Macaca mulatta: one gene and its partner. The protein of the gene in region 1 binds, or shares a complex with, the protein of each later gene. Links are inferred from orthologs where the notes say so. Each region holds a gene or a part of one and is shown on either strand. Other genes may lie near its edges.

What was found. Proteins that work in one complex are often made in the same cells at the same time.
Region 2: the proteins of PTH2R (region 1) and PTH2 are in contact, whole or in part, in a cryo-EM structure (PDB 7F16), measured with the Homo sapiens proteins. The link is inferred for Macaca mulatta from reciprocal best matches to the Homo sapiens genes PTH2R and PTH2. Residues at the interface, in NP_005039.1 of Homo sapiens: Thr31, Ile32, Ile34, Gln37, Ile38, Asp68, Gly69, Leu70, Ile90, Tyr91, Asp92, Phe93, Met112, Lys117, Ala120, Tyr122, Leu126, Gln130, Pro131, Ser134, Lys137, Gln138, Phe141, Glu142, Tyr152, Arg190, Ile194, Lys197, Val201, Ile205; in NP_848544.1 of Homo sapiens: Ser62, Leu63, Ala64, Leu65, Ala66, Asp67, Asp68, Ala69, Ala70, Phe71, Arg72, Glu73, Arg74, Ala75, Arg76, Leu77, Ala79, Ala80, Leu81, Glu82, Arg83, Arg84, Trp86, Leu87, Tyr90, Met91, Lys93, Leu94, Leu95.

Annotation. Positions count from the first base shown.
Region 1 is NC_133417.1:113,702,016-113,705,662, reverse strand, and holds part of PTH2R (parathyroid hormone 2 receptor), read right to left. Parts: intron 3,410-3,647; coding exon 3,256-3,409; intron 1-3,255. UniProt on the Homo sapiens protein: This is a specific receptor for parathyroid hormone. The activity of this receptor is mediated by G proteins which activate adenylyl cyclase. PTH2R may be responsible for PTH effects in a number of physiological systems.
Region 2 is NC_133424.1:61,848,651-61,851,567, reverse strand, and holds PTH2 (tuberoinfundibular peptide of 39 residues precursor), read left to right. Parts: upstream 1-1,470; coding exon 1,471-1,592; exon of another isoform or gene 1,593-2,157; coding exon 2,158-2,332; downstream 2,333-2,917. UniProt on the Homo sapiens protein: Plays a role as a potent and selective agonist of PTH2R resulting in adenyl cyclase activation and intracellular calcium levels elevation. Induces protein kinase C beta activation, recruitment of beta-arrestin and PTH2R internalization.

The sequences.
Region 1 (3,647 bases):
TAATGAACAAATAAACAATATCCCTGTTTTCTAAAACTTATATTCTGGTGAAGCAGTCAAAATTAACAAAGCAACTTCAGTTGGTGCTATGAAGAATAAATAAAAGTGATACTGTGTAATGGGGAGGGGACAGCGGCTTCTGGTAGGATGCTTAGATATAAATCCACCATACAGCCTGGCATAGATCCTACCATATGGCCTGACATACATCCCTCAGCTGTTCTGTCTTAGTTATCTTCAAAAAGTGTCTGCCTGTCTTTCATCAATTTTCACATTTCATCATTCTTATATCTGCATCTTCTGCTTCCTTTATAGTCTCCTAATCAGGCACTTCCCGAATGCTGTTCTATACAATAGTTCCTAGTGGTGCTTGAGTTGGCATTATGTTTTAGATGATAATTATAACAAATATCATACATAGGCACCATGTCTTTATGGAATTGGCTTTTCTCATCTTCTTAGAGAATCTTATGCGTAACACTAGCATAAAGACTATCATGGAAGAATAAAGAACAGAAAACCACTTTGGGATCCTTTAAGGGTTTTTGATCACCAGTCTTAATATGACATTGTTACATAATCTAGAACACAGAAATAAAGGCAAAAATACTTGACATGTAAATGTTATTTTAAATTTAAATGTTAAATTAAGTAAATTTAATATACATTTAAATGTTATCCAATATGTGCATTTACTGAAAGTTTAGTTATTTTTCTTTTTTTTTTTTTTTTGAAACAGAGTCTTGCTCTGTTACCCAGGCTGCAGTGCAGTGGCACGATCTTGGCTCACTGCAAGCTGTGCCTCCCAGGTTCAAGCCATTCTCCTGCCTCAGCCGCCCCAGTAGCTGGGACTACAGGCACCCACTGCCACGCCCTGCGAATTTTTTTGTAGTTTTAGTAGAGACGGGGTTTCGCCGTGTTAGCCAAGATGGTCTCGATCTCCTGACCTCGTGATCCGCCTGCTTCAGCATCCCAAAGTGGAGTTATTTTCATAAGACATGTCAATACAATATAAATAAGTTTTGTGAAGACAAAACTTTAACTTTAAAATAACTATAAATTTAAAATGTTGAATATGATACATATGATCACAACAAGAAAACAAACAAACAAAATAACTTGAAGGGTCAGAGTGCATGCATCTTGTGTGGGAGACTTTAACACATGTCTCTGTGTTTAAACACTTACTGCCAAGTGGATGATCAAAAAATGTTTGCTGGATTAAAATATTTTATAAAAGGAATAAAATGGGAGTGTGGGACCATCTCCTGATTATTTTCATGGAACACATTATGTGAAAATATTCTATGTAAGATGGTATTACTAGGATAGGTGCTGTTATATGATGATATGTACATACTGGTGTTTCATCTGACAGTTGAAAATTAAGGATGGCTGTTAATATAGAAGTAAATTATCATATTTAGTAACAATAAAAAAAAGACTTACCTTTTACATACAGAATTAAAATAGAGGAAAATGTGTAGTTGAAATAAAATGGAAGTAAGAATAAAGCACCTTATTTATGGGAAAACTGAGACAAGGATGGGGAAAATTAACAATGTGCTTGGTTGAAAGAAAAGGAACAGTTATCACTAGTATTCACCTTTACTTCTCTATATATCTTGTTTCATAATAAAAAAATGTAAAAACAGTCCTTTTAAATATTTGCCCTTAATTTAGTAAAGGTCAGATATGACACCTATTCTTCTCCAGCTTGTCATTTCCTTTCCTTCCAATTTATTTTTATGAATCATCACGATCAGATTGAGCATGGTTGCTCACACCTGTAATCCCAGCACTTTGAGAGGCCAAGGCAGGAGGATTGCTTGAGGCCAGGGGTTCAAGACCAGCCTGGACAACATAATAAGGCCGCATCTCTAACAAATAATAAGAAATAAAATAATAAAACATTTAAAAAGGAAAGGATCATCACAATCAATATAAGTGTAGCTCCACACATCACTACAATGTGACTAACAGTATTTATTAAAGTGTGAGCAATGATGAAGAAATTCGAAAAATAAAATATAACCTAAATAAACAAATGTCTACATTCATTATTGAATTTTCTATCAACACCTTTTCCAACTCCTAATAATTATGTGGGTACACAGATATAATTTTGATTTGAAGGAAGGCAAACTATCACAAACTGTCAAGAAAATTTCCAAAGGATCCTAAAAAAGCAAAATATTATCTTTTTTATTTTTATAACTGCTAGTCAAAGATAAGAAAGAGCCTTAAAACAGATGAGCTGTCTACAAAAATACAATTTTAAATGTGATGATTATTTCATAATAAATAAGTATAACAGTAAATTGATTTTCTTTGTCTTCTTAAAGGTTATTAATTAGCTAGCAGAAAGTTCAGCATTCTTTACTTCACATTTCAATTGTTAAGAAAAAAAATTAAGGCAAAATAGGCAAGGGCATATTCTTATTTTGGAGAGGAAAAAAACCTTCAAATTTAGTTATGAGCTACTTAGTGAATTTTTTTCCTATGCTGAGCATGTAAATATTAAAATAGCAATTGAGATCTGCAGCTGTTAATCTCCAACCTCTTCTCAATTTTAACCACATATGAGTTTTAATTTCTCTTAATTTTTAACAAGCAAACAATTTCTTCTCTCTATGTTATGTTGAGTCAGTGCCTAATCCGGTAATCCCCTTGTACTGCTAAATCATTTTTGGAATGAGAACTGAATACTTTTTTAATTACTTATGCCAAAAGTAATTTGAATAATTTCCTTCTAAAACACATAGTAAGTCCACATCATTAGTTTGGAATTTGTATTTGTTAAATACAGTCAGGATGGTCCTACAAATTCATTTCTGGCACTCTCATCATATGACCTAGAAATACAAACCAAAAATATATCATTGTAGCTTAGAAATTCAAAAATAAAAATTTTTAAGATAAAATTATTGATAAAGCAGAACACTGATATTTAGTTTTACATGTGTATGGCTTACAATGAGTTCTCTTACATTTCCTCCAAAGAATCCTCTCAAGAATCTGGTCTAAGGACACTAAACACAAATAACTTTAAAAGTTCGTCACCACTGGGAGAATTATAGACTTGATCTTAATTATTTTTGTCTAAGAATAGAACAATAAAAGAAAGGGAGATAAAAATAAGAATGGGAGGGATTGTTTCAGGAAAATTGCTGTAGGGATGCTAACGATGGGCATGACAGAATGTTATCATATCCATCACCCAGTTTGAAAGGAATGGAGATATAAATGCCTTACCCCAGCCTATCAAGATGAAGCCCCATAGATATTTGGTGTCCGAAAAGAAAGCCACAAAGATGAGACTATGCAGGTAGAGACCTTCCACCAGGATCCAATAATAGTTTGTAGCCAGGAAGTAAATAAACATCACAACAGCCATCTTGCATCCGATCTATTACAAATAAAGCAGAATTGCATCATATTAGAACTCTTCGTTGTACTGGATGCCAAGATTAGACCACTAAAAAACAAGTCTTCAGTTTCTTTTTCAGGCTAATATGTCTCCTTTACACAGTAAAGTCAAAACTGTTGACAGGCCAAAACAGTTATTTTAATGCATCATTTTTCAAAACATGAACTTGATTCTATTCTTAAACTAAGTTTTTTCTTTAAGAAGTTACCCAAAAAAA
Region 2 (2,917 bases), on another chromosome or scaffold:
TCTCTGTTGCCCAGGTTGGAGTGCAGTGGTGCAATCTCAGCTCACTGCAACCTCCAACTCCCGGGTTCAAGCGATTTTCCTGCCTCAGCCTCCCAAGTAGCTGGGATTACACCACACCTAATTTATGTATTTTTGTAGAGAAGGAGTTTCGCCACGTTGGCCAGGCTGGTCTTGAACTCCTGATCTCAAGTGATCCACCCACCTCGGCCTTCCAAAGTGCTGGGATTACAGGTGTGAGCCACTGCACCCGGCTGAGGCCCCTCTTAAGAGTCAGCGTGGGCTGGGTGCGCTGGCTTATGCCTGTAATCCCAACACTCTGGGAGGCCAAGGCGGGCGGATCACGAGGTCAGGAGCTCAAGACCAGCCTGGCCAACAGTTTGGCGAAACCCCCGTCTCTACTAAAAATACAAAAATTAGTCACAAGTGATGGTGGACACCTGTAATCCCAGCTACTAGGGAGGCTGAGGCAGAATGGCTTGAACCTGGGAGGTGGAGGTTGCAGTTAGCCGACATGGTGCCATTGCACTCCAGCCTGGGCAACAAGAGCAAGACTCCGTCTCAAACAAACAAACACAAAAAAAGAGTCAGTGTGAGGAGGACTGGGCTTTAATCTTAACAGCACCCCCAAACTCCTCCCAGATAAGGATTTAGACACATCCTCAGGGCAGCTCAGGAGCCCTATCTGTTTTCCCCTCTTCACTCTCTCTCTGAGGCTTTTCTGATGTTGTCTGTTACTTTTCCTGTCCTCACACCCCTGCCACACGTACCCTTTGCCATTTCTTGCCTTTTCCCCCCTCACCATCTCACCCTTGGTCTTTCTGGGCCTCTCCCTGCTGGATTTATCTCTGGGCAGCTCCATCCAGGCCAGGATGTCCTTCCATTGCCGTCTGTCTTTCTGAGAGCCTTTTCTTTCTCTCCTCCATCTCCGTCTGACTGTTCGTTTCCATCTCCTTTGCTCTCTTTTCTTGTTTTCTTCCTTTTCCTTTCTTTTTCCGTCGTTCCCTTTCTTTCTATTTCTTCCTCGGCCACTCTGTCTTTGTCCTTCTCTTTGTGTCTCTGTTCCTCTGACGGTCCTTCCGCCAGTCTCTATTTTTAGCCCTCTGACACACCCCCTGTGTCCACCTCTCTGTCTGTCTGTCTCTCCCCCTCCCTCGTCTCAGGTCCAGCTTCTGGTCCCAATTAGTTGGTGGCGGCCAAGGCAGCGGCAGGTCCCCCACCCCCGGCTCCTCATTACCGCTGGCGGCTCCTAATGAGCCTGGGGAGGGGGTGACCCCGCGCCCCCGGCCCCCCGGCCTGCGTCACTGCCCGGTGCGGGGGCTGCGGAGGCGATATAAGGGGGCTGCCAGCATCGCTGCCCGAGACCACTGCGCGGTAGGGGACCGTGCGGGAAGCTGGGGGTGGGTGCATGGTAGGGCCGGGGTTTCTGGGCCGGGATGCAGCCCCACTGAGCCCCTTTCTGGTTCACAGGTGATGGAGACCCGCCAGGTGTCCAGGAGCCCTCGGGTTCGGCTGCTGCTGCTGCTGTTGCTAGTGGTGCCCTGGGGCGTCCGCACTGCCTCGGGAGTCGCCCTGCCCCCGGTCGGGGTCCTCAGGTAGGTGCCAGGGCCAGAACTCCCAGGGAGGGGTGGGGACCTGGAGAAGTGGGAAGAGAACCAAAGAGAAAGGGGACAGAAGACCCAGAAAGAGGGACAGAAGCCCAAAGAGAGGGCGACCGAGACCCAGCGAGAAGACGGAGACTAGGGGTGGTGGAAGGCGGGAGGAGGGTTTGGTGGTGGTGGTGGTGCGGGAACGGACAGAGAATCAGCAAGGGAAAGAGACACAGAAAGATAGATGCCTAGAAAGGCATGGAGAAGGCTGGAAAGGAGCCGATGCAGAAATGGATTCGTTCTTTGAGCAACGTTTAGTGGGTTCTTGGTGTGCGCCTGGCCATGTGCTGAGCGCTGTGGGCGGACAAGTGCATCAGACTCGGTCTCAGTACCTGGGGAGTTTCGAACCTGGTGAGCAGAGAGACAGAGACCCACACAGAGAACGAGACAGAGGGAGCCGGACCGACCCACTCCACCGACGGGGCAGTAATAGGGCTTCAAGTTAGACCGCGGGGAGGACAGGCGGCGGCGAGCGCGGATCTGGACGCGCCGTCACCGAGTCTCTCCACAGCCTCCGCCCCCCAGGACCGGCCTGGGCGGATCCCGCTACCCCCCGGCCGCGGAGGAGCCTGGCGCTGGCGGACGACGCGGCCTTCCGGGAGCGCGCGCGGTTGCTGGCCGCCCTCGAGCGCCGCCACTGGCTGAACTCGTACATGCACAAGCTGTTGGTGTTGGACGCGCGCTGAGCGCGCCGCCTGTCCCCATCTTAATAAAGACCCTGCCGTGCGCTCCGGACTGCGCCTCGTTCCTGTGCGACCTGCGTGTGCGTCGGGTTGGGGGCGCAGGGCTGGAAAGGTTGGGGTAGAAAAGAGACAGAACTCTGCGTCGGCCACTCTGGCATCTCTCCCTTCAGTTCCCACTCTATTTTCTTTCCTCAATTCCGTTTCTCTGCCTCTGTCTTTGTCCAGGAAGCTAGCTTCTTTCCTATTTCTGGATCTCTGCTTCCCTACCGCCCCCCACCTCCGCTCTGTCCCCTCCTTTCATTCTGGGTCCCTGTCCCTCCCTACCCCCGTCTCTGTCCCCTTCTCTGTTTCTCTGTAATCTCCAAGGTCTCTGTCCTCCTCTGTCTCTGCCCCCTTCTCTGGGTCTCTTTCCTCTCTGGGTATGTGTCCCCGTCTCCCTGAGTCCTTGCGGGTATCTCCCCTTTTACCCTCTTGGCTTTCTGGTCTTCTGAGAATCTCTGCCTCCTCTCTCTATTCTCCTTCTGTCTCTGAAACTCTTCCTTTCCTTCTCCCTCACTTTCTTTTTTCCTTTTTCCTCTGCCTGACTCC